Arabidopsis thaliana: one gene and its partner. The protein of the gene in region 1 interacts with the protein of each later gene in a pairwise test. Each region holds a gene or a part of one and is shown on either strand. Other genes may lie near its edges.

The links. Proteins that work in one complex are often made in the same cells at the same time.
Region 2: the proteins of WRKY43 (region 1) and AT5G08480 interact in binary tests that used the Arabidopsis thaliana proteins (3 or more experiments, as listed by UniProt).

The regions. Positions count from the first base shown.
Region 1 is NC_003071.7:18,954,080-18,960,766, reverse strand, and holds WRKY43 (WRKY DNA-binding protein 43), read right to left. Parts: upstream 3,556-6,687; 5' UTR 3,514-3,555; coding exon 3,365-3,513; intron 3,279-3,364; coding exon 3,098-3,278; 3' UTR 2,842-3,097; downstream 1-2,841. Other genes in the region: AT2G46140 (Late embryogenesis abundant protein), read right to left, coding at 405-654, 1,354-1,604; KPHMT1 (ketopantoate hydroxymethyltransferase 1), read left to right, coding at 4,356-4,757, 5,125-5,478, 5,576-5,629, 5,727-5,960; AT2G46100 (Nuclear transport factor 2 (NTF2) family protein), read right to left, coding at 6,300-6,387, 6,507-6,558. UniProt on the Arabidopsis thaliana protein: Transcription factor. Interacts specifically with the W box (5'-(T)TGAC[CT]-3'), a frequently occurring elicitor-responsive cis-acting element.
Region 2 is NC_003076.8:2,739,992-2,747,919, reverse strand, and holds AT5G08480 (VQ motif-containing protein), read right to left. Parts: upstream 4,602-7,928; 5' UTR 4,077-4,601; exon of another isoform or gene 3,503-4,076; 5' UTR 3,435-3,502; coding exon 2,913-3,434; 3' UTR 2,809-2,912; downstream 1-2,808. Other genes in the region: SLG1 (Tetratricopeptide repeat (TPR)-like superfamily protein), read left to right, coding at 163-2,712; PEX1 (peroxisome 1), read right to left, coding at 5,189-5,227, 5,321-5,593, 5,826-5,943, 6,160-6,221, 6,301-6,426, 6,746-6,946, 7,311-7,532, 7,759-7,913. UniProt on the Arabidopsis thaliana protein: May modulate WRKY transcription factor activities.

The sequences.
Region 1 (6,687 bases):
TGCTCCTAAATAATCTTTCGCAATTATATTTAGCTGGAGACAACCATCTTTTTTCATACACAAACTTATGTTTATTAGTTTTTTTTTTTGTTTATAAACTTTTTTTTACATTTGACTTGCGGAATAGTAGTGGAGTGTATTCATTTTCATATGGGATAATATATGGTTCAAATCTCTCGACATTCAGGAAACAGATTTTTCTACGCATAGCAGGTAAATAAAGATAAATCACACACACAATTGAAAAACATACATAATTAATAACCAATAAAATCCTTGTTGAAATCAACAAAATAAAAAAAGGATTCCAGAAATGTATTAATCTCCGATCGTCTATGTTTATGGATCGTACATTATTGAAAATTAGATTATGATTTAAGAAAACTATATTTGAAATAAGGTAATTAAAAGAAGTCGCGAAGGGAAGGGAGCTTGATCTCTCCCTGAGTAGAGACAGGAATGGTGATATCACCAACAACAGGAATGTCGAAGGTTAGCCCAATGTCTAGTTGATAGTCAATGTCCCAGTCCGTACACATATCCTTCATCAGACTAACCGCTATGCTATAAGCCACCTTAACCGGTACGTCCAGAACCGTCGTGCCGCTCCCAACCAACGAACCCGGGTCCGGTATCGTGCCTGACGCGATCGTCCTACGCATGCCACAAACATTATTAATCAGCACATGATGAATGTACGTTACACCTATACATGGCGTGTGCATAACGTTACATAAAAAGTACTGTTATGAAAATGTTATCTAAGCTTAAATCCTCAAAATACAAAAGCTGAGACCATCTATATAGCTTTGTGCCTTTGTTTCCTTGATAACACGTGTTATTAGTAATGTCATATTATGTATACAGTAGACTTGTGTAAATATATACATTAGGATTGATATAAGATGCTAGATATCATCAATGCACATGGATAATGAAATTAGTATATGTATGTATATATAATGCGGCACAATGCGATAAAAATACAATTAGTGAGAAAATGAGATCTAGCCATTTCGGTGATGAGACCAGACAAATTACCAACGAAATCCATACACATATATATTAAATACTGTTATCAATTAAAAATAGTCAAACATTAGATCGGATATACCTAATTGATACACATTTCTATTCATTAGTACAAAGATCGGATACACTTAACGAAAAATATCACATATATATTTTTCATATTCTCAAAATTTAGATGATCAAAATATGTGTCACAAATTCTATTTATCTTAGGCTAGATCCGGAATACGGATACTATCATGATATGTGTGTAATAAAAAGTGCACAATACGGTGTTAGAGTAGATCAGACGGTACAAGAAGAAAAAAAAGAGAAGATGACCTTGTGGCACTCTTGAGGATGTAAGAGATCTGGCAGATAGGGATGGATTGAGAGTAAGGATTCTTGACGGAGACCTTGGCGTGATAATCTACTCCATCACGTGTCACGCCTTTGAAATCAACGTCGTCCACGGTTGCTTCCGGCGTCGGAATATTCGCCAGCTTCTCCGCAAAGAAACCTTTGGCTTTGTCCAACAAGCTTGAAATCACCGAAGCCTTCTCTTCCACCACCTTTTCATCCGCTGATGCCATTCTTTTTTTTTTTTTTTTGGTGTTGTTTCTTCAAAGGATCAGATCTCTCTTTGTCTCTCTCTCTCTTTTCTAAAGTTTATGGCGCTGTCGGTTCTATATATTTTGGTACCTCTTTTAAGGATGATAAATACCTTAATTGCCGGAGCGTGACATTTTTGATTTTTCTTTGGTTGTTGGAAAAGGAATAATATAATAATTTTTCCATCATTAGAAAAGGAATAAGATCCTTTTTTTAGAGCATCATGGTCATAACGTGCGTTCTTACTTCTTTGCTCGTCCGAAAAAAAGATGAAACATGTTTATTATAGAATATACTACAATTATATTTTGTATATTATGACTTTTAAATTAGCAATATGTTTTAACTTTTAAGCAATATCCTAAAAAATTAATTATTAGTTGTTTTACTATTATGACCAATTATTTTTAATAGATTTTAACATTATCAAAACTTAAACTTTAAAGATATTTAACAACTACATGTTGAGTAGTACTACTTTCTAAACATTAATTTTTGGTAAATAATCCCAAGAAGATGAAAATATAAGAGATTATTTTATCTTCCTAAAATTAGTCAAAACATATATATTTTATAATTTTAAAGATTATTTGAGATTTAGAGGTATACATACTTACCTTCCCATTGATTGCATTTGCTTAAGTTGAAAAGTGGATTTATATATGGAAGAAGAAAAAAAATATGAAAATGTAGTTTTTTTGTTTCTTCTTTTAATTCGGCAATCCATATTTATTAGTACACTTTGTGGCTTCAACTTCGCCAAGACTTGTTCGCTTCTTATTTTCGGTGACTATTTAAGGATGCTGATCAAAACTTGAAAGCAATTCATGTAATATATCGGAACTGACTTCGTACATGTGACATGTCTCATTGACATTGTTCATCGTGTAAATAAACAAAACAATAATCACTCACGATAAGCCAATAGGTTTATTCAAACGAAAGGAAACTGATTTGGCTTGAGAAAAATCTATGGAAACCAAATCCGGTTTTATTCAGTTTACCAGACGATATTGCTCTATGCCTCTCTATAATCATCACGTGGTAATCGTTTTACCGGAATATTACAATTGATTTGTTTTTTTATTTTGGTTATATGCTTAAAACTGATTTATAATCAAAACGAGATTGCAACTATGAACATGCAAACATATATGATTACAATGCTTTAATTTGCTCCGTTATATGAACCATGGAACATTAGACCATCTCCACCAGTAAAAATAAAGAAAGTTTCTCAAAAACATATTAATTAATATTTTAATCAAAACAGATACATTAATTATTATTTAATAGTTGAACTAATAGTGTGATTACACCTGTCCAATCATCCGAGAAATTTAACTCTCCTTCTCTCCTACTTTTTCTCCCTTCTCTCATATTTTTTTTTTAATTTTTTTTCTTTTGTTAGGTATCTCATTGAGATACTTCCATTGGAGATGCTCTTAGAACGTTAATATATATACAAACATAATTAGGTGAACTTAGAGAGGAACTGCAATTGATGAAGAAGAGGAGTTAGGGTTTGCATGAGCTCCTCACAAGGATGGTTATGGATTCCTTCATAAGTTGTCTCCACAATGCTCGTCTCCTTCGACAGCCTCTGAACTTGCTTCTTCACGTTACACATGTGTTGTGTGCATCTATAATAGCTCCTTTTGATGATCATAAGTGAGAAGAAACACACAAAAAAACAATCTTTTTAAAAACAATTTCAGATTATTTATGTTAAAAAGTTTACCTGGGATACAAGCTGTTCTTGACGGATTTCTGACCGTACTTTCTCCATCGATAACCATCATCGAGAATATCTGCATCACTCTTTGTGCGAAACGAAAATCGCGGATTTTTCATCTTCTTATCTCGAGAAGAGTCGACGAGGCCATTCATTAATGAAGAGGAGATATGATGAATCAACGAATTGTGTGTTAGAATTCTTCGTGTGATTTATATTGAAGAGATATATAAAAAGGTTTAGAAGCCAACTACATTCAACTACTTCAGACCAACAACAACAAAAAATTCCTTCACGTCATCTCACACGTGTGTGACTTAAAAAACAGAGACATGGTTTGGTCTTTACTTGAACTCCTGGAAACTGTAAACAGTAGAATCCGGTTTTGGTATCACAATGCGCAATCTCATAAAAAAGAACCGAAGCTACGATCTTAAAGGAGCTCGTGCAGAACCCTCGGATGCTCTCCAACTCCAAGAGAGTTCCAACTAGTAACCGCGATCTCAATCTCTACATTTCTCTATCTAAACCCAGAAACGGAAAAATAAAAAAGGAATCGCCTTTGGAACAGAAGTTCAATAAGATCGAAACAGAGACTGGGTTAGGCTAGAGCCTAGAGAGAAACAGAGACTGGGTTAACATAACCAGACTGAACCAAAATCCGGTTTAATATAGTAAAGATATTTTAAAACTATCTCCGTTGCCGGGACTCGAACCCGGGTCTCTCGGGTGAGAGCCGAGTATCCTGACCAGCTAGACTACAACGGATCTTGTTGATTTCGTTAAAATATTGAATTTATAGTTAAGCTATCACAATTCCTAACAGTGTCATTGCTATGCTTGATTTGTGTGTGAAACCCAGAACTGAATCGCCACTTGCCAGAATCTAAACAGCGTCCTCACTCACTAGGAATTGAATCTTCTTAAAAGTAAAATTCCTTGTTCTTGTAAACACAGACACAGTCACAGATAAGAGGGTTTCTTCATCTTCACAACAATGGCGTCCTCACTCACTAGGAATTGCTCTCGCTTCTCAAAAGCCATCTCTGTCCGTTTCATGAGTAACCTACCGGAAAACACCGTCTACGGAGGACCAAAGCCACAAAACCCAAACCAAAGAGTGACGCTAACGCATCTCAGACAAAAACACCGGAGAGGAGAACCGATCACCGTCGTAACTGCCTACGATTACCCATCCGCCGTTCATTTAGACACAGCTGGTATCGATGTTTGTCTTGTCGGTGACTCAGCTTCCATGGTTGTTCATGGTCACGACACAACACTTCCTATCTCCTTAGACGAGATGCTTGTTCATTGTCGTGCCGTTGCTCGAGGCGCTAAACGACCTCTCCTAGTTGGTGACTTGCCATTTGGTACCTACGAGTCAAGCTCTAGTCAGGTAATGTTATAAAATTGAATCTTTTTTTCTTCTAGATACCTAAATTAAACATATTTGTTGATAAGGCATGTTCTTCTGCTTAATTTTTGTGTAGGTAATTAGATTCTTGATTGCAATTTCAATACCTGAATTAATCACAACACTCAGTGGGACTTACAATGTTCAATTCATTTCCTGATCAAATGTTTAGGTGATTGGATTCTTGATAAAAAAAGTCTTAAATGATACATTATGTGTCAATGTGTCATTGCCTGTGTAATCACAGATTTAGCTTTAGTACTTGCTTATGCAAAGTAGATTCTTTACAAGATTTTGTGTCAATGAAACAAATTAGGGACCTGATTTTGGGTTTAAATGTTGGCTTCAGGCGGTTGATACTGCGGTTAGGGTTTTGAAGGAAGGAGGAATGGATGCGATTAAGCTCGAAGGAGGATCAGCTTCTAGGATCACTGCTGCAAAAGCTATAGTTGAAGCAGGAATTGCGGTTATTGGTCATGTGGGTCTAACCCCTCAGGCGATTAGCGTTCTTGGTGGTTTCAGACCCCAAGGCAGAAACATAGCTAGTGCTGTTAAAGTTGTTGAGACTGCAATGGCTTTACAAGAAGCTGGATGTTTTTCGGTTGTTTTGGAATGCGTTCCACCTCCTGTAGCTGCTGCTGCAACTTCTGCCCTCAAGATACCAACCATTGGCATTGGGGCTGGACCTTTCTGCAGTGGACAGGTTTTATTTGAAAAGTTTCGTTCTTTCCGGTTTTGTGTGTAGCCAAGAGACAAATTTGCATTTCTCATACCTGTTAATTGTTTTCTTGGAAATGCAGGTGCTAGTTTACCATGATCTTCTTGGTATGATGCAACATCCACATCATGCCAAGGTAAAATCCTGACACAATTATTGTTTTCGAAACGCATTCTCTTGTTCGTTCGTTCGTTATCAACATGCTTCTTGTTTCATGCTCTTATATTTCACAGGTTACTCCAAAGTTTTGCAAGCAGTACGCTAATGTCGGAGAAGTGATTAACAAAGCCCTAATGGAATACAAAGAAGAAGTCTCTAAAAAAGTGTTTCCAGGTCCTTCTCACAGTCCTTACAAGATCACAGCAAGTGAGCTCGATGGGTTCTTAACCGAGTTGCAGAAGCTTGGTTTTGACAAGGCTGCTTCTGCAGCAGCTTTAGCAGCTGAGAACATGGAGCCTTCAAAGTGACAATTGTATCCAAAAGCTTGAGATATATTGTCAATTGTACTTAAGACACTAGAGAATTATCATTTTTTTCAAGAGAATGCAAATTCATAGAGTACGGTTAAAACTTGAGACGGTGCAAGGTTGAAGAGGTTCAAGCATGGTTTCTCTGTTGCTTGTCCAACCGAGAAGAATGGACCTTTGTTTTAATGCGACAGTGATAGTATGTTTATATGTGTCATCTTGAATAGATTCATTACAGATCTCTAAGAGCAGAGTATCCCATATTAGTTTCAGAAGCAAGTTTCATATATTTACGGTTAAAAAAATCTAATTTGAAATTGACATCATTCTTCATCTGCGCTAGTTTTGTGTCCCCACTAAACCACGGCTGGGTCTCAGAAGTTGTTTGAACAGAGCAATCTTAGGGACATTCCAATGCTCCACGTGCCTGCAAGCCAACATTCATCAAAATATGTTTAACCAGCTTCTTCTTCTTCACAAAAGATTTCAAAGTTGAAAAGAGATTAGTGGGGTTTATATTAATGAGCTCATAAGTAATCTTTTTACCTGCAAATTTTCCCGGATTCTGTGTCGAAATAATACTCCGTGTAACCAGTTGCTGTAAAAACAGATTTCCATAAAAAGACATAGTAAAAGTTTTGTTCTTTTTGTCTTCATTACTAATCATTGAAGCTATTAAAGTTGCAAACTTTATCCTAAAAAGGCTACAAAAATCTGAAAACTTTTA
Region 2 (7,928 bases), on another chromosome or scaffold:
AAAGATATTGCTTTTTCAGTTTCTCTATGTCTGTTACATCTCGACAACGCTTATATCTAGAGAAACTGTTCTTGCATATCAGGTGTTTGTGAAAATGTCTGACCCAATGTAACGTAGATTTTTTGCTAATAAAGGGCCGTTGTTGGGATATTCAGGGGAAAGATGGGCCCTTTACGGCAATTTGTTCAGAATTTCAGACTTTTGTCTGGTTTTGGAACTGATCACAGGGTTTTTCTGGATGTTGTCAAAGCTTGTGCTTCAGTGTCTGATCTCACATCAGGGAGGGCTCTGCACGGTTGCGTGTTCAAGCTTGGTCATATAGCCTGCTCTGAGGTTTCGAAGTCAGTTCTTAACATGTATGCGAAATGCAGGAGAATGGATGATTGCCAGAAGATGTTTAGGCAAATGGACAGTCTTGATCCTGTTGTTTGGAATATTGTTCTGACTGGACTTTCTGTTTCTTGCGGTCGTGAAACGATGAGGTTTTTCAAAGCAATGCACTTTGCAGATGAACCTAAGCCGAGCTCTGTTACCTTTGCGATTGTTCTTCCTTTGTGTGTTCGCCTTGGGGATTCATACAATGGGAAGAGTATGCATTCTTATATTATTAAAGCCGGTTTGGAGAAAGATACACTTGTGGGGAATGCTTTGGTTTCCATGTATGCCAAATTTGGTTTTATTTTTCCCGATGCTTATACTGCATTTGATGGTATAGCTGATAAAGATGTTGTCTCTTGGAATGCGATTATTGCTGGGTTTTCTGAGAATAATATGATGGCTGATGCATTTAGATCGTTTTGTCTAATGCTGAAGGAACCTACAGAGCCAAATTATGCAACAATTGCAAATGTTTTGCCTGTTTGCGCTTCTATGGACAAGAACATTGCATGTCGAAGTGGTAGACAGATTCACAGTTATGTTGTGCAGAGGTCTTGGCTGCAAACCCATGTTTTTGTATGTAATTCACTTGTTAGTTTCTATTTGAGAGTCGGAAGGATAGAAGAAGCAGCCTCATTGTTTACCAGGATGGGTTCTAAAGATCTAGTTTCATGGAATGTTGTCATAGCTGGTTATGCATCAAATTGTGAGTGGTTTAAAGCATTTCAGTTATTTCACAACTTGGTGCATAAGGGGGATGTTTCTCCTGATTCGGTAACTATTATCAGTATCCTTCCTGTCTGTGCGCAATTAACTGACTTGGCCTCTGGGAAAGAGATCCACAGTTATATATTGCGCCATTCTTACCTTTTGGAGGATACATCAGTTGGGAATGCTCTCATTAGTTTCTATGCAAGATTTGGTGACACAAGTGCAGCATATTGGGCCTTTTCACTGATGTCCACGAAGGATATAATATCTTGGAATGCTATACTTGATGCCTTTGCAGACAGTCCAAAGCAGTTTCAATTTTTGAATCTCTTGCACCACTTACTTAATGAAGCAATCACTCTTGACTCTGTTACTATTTTAAGCCTACTAAAGTTTTGCATAAATGTACAGGGAATTGGTAAAGTAAAAGAAGTTCATGGGTACTCAGTTAAGGCTGGTCTTTTACACGATGAAGAGGAACCCAAGCTTGGCAATGCATTGCTTGATGCATATGCCAAATGTGGTAATGTTGAATACGCTCATAAGATTTTTCTGGGTTTATCAGAGAGGAGAACTTTGGTTTCCTATAACTCATTGTTATCAGGATATGTTAATAGTGGAAGTCATGATGATGCTCAGATGCTCTTCACTGAGATGTCTACTACTGATCTCACCACTTGGAGTTTGATGGTTCGTATCTATGCTGAAAGTTGTTGCCCTAATGAAGCCATTGGTGTTTTCCGTGAGATTCAAGCTCGAGGAATGAGGCCTAACACTGTGACTATCATGAATCTCCTTCCTGTTTGTGCGCAGCTAGCCTCTCTGCATCTAGTAAGACAATGTCATGGATATATTATTAGAGGCGGACTTGGTGATATCCGCCTGAAGGGGACTCTACTAGATGTATATGCTAAATGTGGCAGCTTGAAGCATGCATATTCTGTCTTCCAGTCAGATGCTCGTAGAGATCTGGTTATGTTCACTGCTATGGTAGCTGGGTATGCTGTACATGGTAGGGGCAAGGAAGCACTTATGATCTACTCTCATATGACTGAATCAAACATAAAGCCCGATCATGTTTTCATAACTACTATGTTGACTGCATGCTGTCATGCAGGGTTAATACAGGATGGATTGCAAATATATGACTCAATAAGGACAGTTCACGGTATGAAACCTACAATGGAACAATATGCTTGTGCTGTAGATCTAATTGCTCGAGGGGGTCGACTTGATGATGCATATTCTTTTGTCACACAGATGCCAGTTGAACCTAATGCAAATATATGGGGAACACTGTTAAGGGCGTGTACAACCTATAATAGGATGGATCTGGGGCACTCAGTTGCAAATCATCTCTTGCAAGCTGAATCTGACGACACCGGAAACCACGTTCTAATATCGAATATGTATGCTGCAGATGCTAAATGGGAAGGCGTGATGGAGTTGAGAAACCTAATGAAGAAAAAGGAAATGAAAAAGCCAGCGGGATGTAGCTGGCTAGAAGTGGATGGGCAAAGGAATGTCTTTGTGTCTGGAGATTGTTCTCACCCTCGTAGAGACAGTATTTTTGACTTAGTAAATGCTTTATATCTTCAGATGAAAGAGCCTGTGGTGTTTTAATCGATGAAAATTGTTAAAACGCTGCGAAGCTAGATCATGATGGTCTACACAAAGCAATTGCACATATGACACAGACAAATCTTGAGTGAACAATGTAAGAGAACAATCTTCCTCTTCCAATGATATTGTTGTGAAACTCTACATGTACATAATCTTTGGGATAGTAGGCAGAGAACAAACTTATGATTAATCTGTCGGGTTTATGGTTTGCCACTCGAATTGGGAGATGTTAAAGGAAACAAAGTAAGCAATTCTGGTTCTGTATACCCCGGTTTAGACCTTGGCGATGGATGCAAGTAAAAGCGTCTTTCTTTAATGGCTTTCTCCTCTTCTTCGATGTTTGTTGTACAACTATCTGGTTCCCCTTCTATCAAGGACAAGTTAGAGAACAATGAAGAAGGGGTGCCCACTGGACTTGTTAAAAGGTTGGTATTACCAGATTTAGATGATGGTGTCGTACCAGTGGGCTTAAAGCTCAGAGGAGGTTTGACAATTTCAAGCTTTGGCCTCATACATTGCCTTCTCTCATGGAGCTTTGAAGTTGGCCTCTTTTGTATGGCGGTTTTTATCACTGTTGCTTCTGGTGTTGCTGCTGCAGCGTTGTTCTCTGTTGGACCTGTCAAGCGCTGCACAATTTCTCTGAAAGTGTTGGTGTCAGTTTGGACAAATGTAGTGACAGGCTTGCAGGTTGTTGCAACGTTTTGACTCCCTTTGCTATTCATATGTAAGTGTTTCTCTGACAAAACAACCTTTGATTTACACCTATTTTGGTCTCTGACCTGCAACAAAACTACCGTTTATGCAGTTGATGAGAAGATGAAAAAATATTCAAACATGAAAGGTCCTATCAAGAGAACCGAGGAATGTCAACTTCATGTGAGTTCAGAGATTAGATTGATGGAAGGTTAGAAATACTCAGAAGTCTTCTTGTAATCCAAAATTAGGTATTTGTTAAAGATTTCCTTCGTCATAATTTTTCAAAAACAAGCAACTCAAAACATAAATAGCTACAGATACAAAAGATGAGGTAGTCGTGTACTCAAACCTCACCACTTTTACAAGAGCACTAGATTCTTATGTGGGGAAAAATAATAAAAAATTGGCTTCTCCTAAATTTGCTTTGACTTGTTGTATACTCAAATATCTATATCAAAGTTTGGTGCTCTTACTAATTGTAGGAATGACAATGAAGAGGGCTTTTCATGTCCTAAATCTATCTTCATCGTCATAATCATCATCTTTATGGTGGTTACTAGTTCATATGATGAGAGAACTGTTAATAAAAGTTTCTATGTAGCATTCAATTTACGATTTGATAACCCTACAGGAGTCAGAGAGAATGATAAAAAGGTCAAAAGGCATACCTGAAGAGCAAGCCGAGGCAACAAGTGGAGGTAAAATCGAATGAGAATGCCGGATTTTTTTCTGAAGAAATAGAACTTAAAACAGAAGAAGGAAATAAAAAGAGAGAGAAAGAACTAAAAGAAGATATAAAGACTGTTGTTGGTCTAATGGTCACAGCTCAGAACTTGTTCATATTACCAGAAAAGAGAAGAAAATGAAAAGAGGAAAATCAGGAGAAGAATATGGAGAGGAAAGAGGAAAAGGACTCTTTTATCCCTTTGTTCTTAACCGTTTTTGGGTTTGGGTTTTTGTCACACAAAAAAGATAATAAATTATTTTGTTTATAGAACTAAGTTTGTTTGGTCAAACATCAAAATGACATAATTTGTGATGAGTTTATTTCATTGTTGTCGTGAAGGAATGGAGAAAGGAAGTTAAAGAAGGAAGAAATGCATGCCGTTTCGGTTAAGGAGATGGGTAGAGAGAGACGTCACAGCAACCTCTCTCCCCCGCCCAATTTATAAACCAATCGTTTTTTTTTTTTTGGCTGTCTCTGTTGAATGTGATGAGATATTATTAACTGTACTCATGACAGTTTCTTAACTGACTCTATTCGTCCTCTGTGGATAATTTTGTTGACTCATTTCAAGTTATGGCCATAACAATTAACAACATTATTCACTGGCATTGTCAAAGATAGGAGGCAACAACCTTTACCTGTGAGTTACGAATACGTTGTCGTTTCTTTTCCTTTTTTGCTTTGGACTGATAAATTTTGTTGCACGATAATAGTTGACTCTTTTCTATGCGTTTTTATTTCATTTCATACACAAAATTACGGAACTTGAATACCATTTTTATCTTGTTTTGACCAAAAATATTACAGCTTTTAAAATTCTAAAATTGCCAAAAGAAATGTATTAATCTTATTACTGTAGAGATGTCTATAGTCGTTTGAATCTTGTAGAACTTACCATGTGTCTCTCTAGTATCTAACTATCTTTATTCCAAACTTCAACCACTTTTACTCTAATGCTAACAACTGGGCATATCTATCATAAAGCAAATTTTACAACATGATGTGATTTCTACAATGTAACCATTCCTTTTTGTGTCTTTGTAATACCTTTGATTATGCTAAGGTTGCTCTTTTGCCCTTTGCTTCTCTTGACTACAAGCAAAATAAGATTTTGATGTTGTTAGTAATCAACAACTGGGTTTGTATAAAAGGGAAGAGGAATTAGAGTGGAGATGAGAGAGATACCGATTTTCTTGAATCCAGAAACTGGCTATATATGTCATAGAGCTTTTGTTTCTCGGTTTCGGAAACCGATGGTTTAGTTTTAGAAGCAATCGACTTCAGAAGAGGATCAGTTATTATTGGTGTAGTTCCGGTCTCGGGTTTATCTTCTCTGTTCAGATACTCGTGTACAGCTGCAAGTTGCGCATCTGAGAGAAGAGCTTGAAGATCAGCTCCACTGAAGCCTTCAGTCATCAAAGCTATAGGCTCTAGGTCAATATCATCAGCCATCAGAAGCTGTAAAAATGCAGAAAGATTTTTTGTCATCTTAACTACTTGTAATATATATAGATAAATCTTATCTACATATTGTCTAGGGAGACCATCAATTGAATGTCAGAATCCAATGGAAATCGCTTAGCCATAGAAGATTCTAGTTAATGGTCGTTCAGATATGTAGCATACATACTTTACATGAGACTTGAGGACAAAAATGATTAGCAGAAATGATGTAACTGAGAGTACTAACCTTTCTAGAAAGAACTGTAAGAATCTCTAATCGTTCTGGTGGGGAAGGAAAGTCGCACAAAAGAAGACGATCAAGCCGGCCAGGCCTTAGGAGGGCAGGATCAAGTAAATCTGGTCTACTGTTAATTGAGTCATGTATCCATTATAAAGTCATTATCCCTCTTTTGTATGTAATGAAAAACATAAATTGAGGACTGAGCACAGGCTTCAAGATTATCATATTTAAGATTTATTATTAACTATCAACTCAGAAGAATCCACCGTTTGCAGTTGATTATATGATACATCGAACACAAAATATGATATGCAAGATAGACTTATTCGGGTGTGAATACCTGGTTGCAGCAAATACAAAGACCCCTGTTAGAACTTCAACTCCATCCAGTTCTGTCAAAAACTACGCAAAAGAAAAATATGACATGAGATGTTTGAACTTTGACTTGGATAGAATTTGCTCAGACTTTGAAGTAACTTACTTGATTAACAACTCGATCAGTTACACCAGTATTATCATGTCCTCTTTTGGGAGCAATTGAATCGAATTCATCGAAAAAGAGTATGCATGGAGCTGCAGCTGCTGCTTTCGAAAATATATCACGGACCTGAGAGAAGTGTGTTTTCCATTATTGTATATGCGGAACCATTAGGATAACATTTTCAGATTTTTATGTAAAGAGACTAGCAGGAATAACAATTAAAAAGGAACAAAGCTGTCTGAAAACTTTTCTCTAGAAACATTTTCAGAGGTTTCTTTATCATTCTATTGTTTAATACAAGGTAAAGACTAGGCAAGAAACCCAGAAAAATCAAAATAAATTCAACAGTATAGATAATAGCATGCGTCACTAAAGAACTGAATAGGTTGATAACCATCTCAAAGGTTCTTGAAGATGGAAAACAAAGAAAGGTTGTCATTCTTACCGCTTGTTCAGATGCACCAATGTATTTGTTTAACAGCTCAGGCCCCTTCACCGATATAAACCGTAGGGAACACGCTGCAGCAGCTGCACCAACAATGTGAGTCTTCCCACAACCGGGTGGGCCATACAAGAGAACATTCGATCTCAAACGCAGAGGAGATTTTGCAAAGATTTTTGGAAATTTTGATGGCAGCTCAATCATCTGGACATGGCAAAGAGCAATAAAGTTGCATATCTAGAATTATATCTCTAAATAAGAACTGGTTCAAACTGTAGTTGTTAGCATAACTAGTAGCTCTTATATAGCCCAGTGGAATTATTTCCGTGAGATTCATTCCAAGATATTTCAACTTATATCAACTCAGGTCTTACAGAAATATTGTTTCCCACTGAACACGACCTAACTTCAGTAAGTAAAAGCCAACAGACAAAGAGGCAGGAAACAGATGCTTCCTGGTTGCAATTATAAAAGGATAACATTTATTGGCAAGATTTCCTACCCCACACTAATTTAGATTTTAATGAGGGCAACAAAATCAGATATGGCAGTAAGCATAGTCATATACCTCTTTGATAGCATTTTTAATATCAGTCACACCTCCCACATCTTCCCACCCCAAACGACCACCTTCAGAGGCAGATTTTGTGATGTCACGCATGGCAACAGGCACAAAATCATGCATAGCTCGAGTAAAGTCTTCTTTGACCAAATTATATTTGGATATATTTGATTCTAAAGGTAGATGCCGGCCAATGGCAGCATGAACAGCTCTATCAACCAATATTTCCTGGAAAAAAAAAAAAAAAAAAAGAGAATTCAAAGAGAGCACACTGTAGATCTGCGGACAGAATGATAATCAAGTTAAAACGAAATAGCAAGCTTGAACAATAAAATTTATAACATGAAAATCACAGATAGTATCAGCTTCCAAAGTCTGTCAACATTTCTGTCAAATGTCTTTTCTGGTCTTAGCACAACGGCAAATTTAAAAGCATATAGAAAAATTTAAATACCAGGTCATATGCATCATATCCTTCACATTTAGCAGCTAAGTTAAGTAAAATGTCTTCTGAACAGTCTAAAAGGCGTTTCTGTATCTCATGCTTCAGTATGGCCCCACGTTCCGAGGTAGCAGGAGCAGCCAGTTGCACATGGAAGTCAAACCTTCCTGAAAATGTCAAAT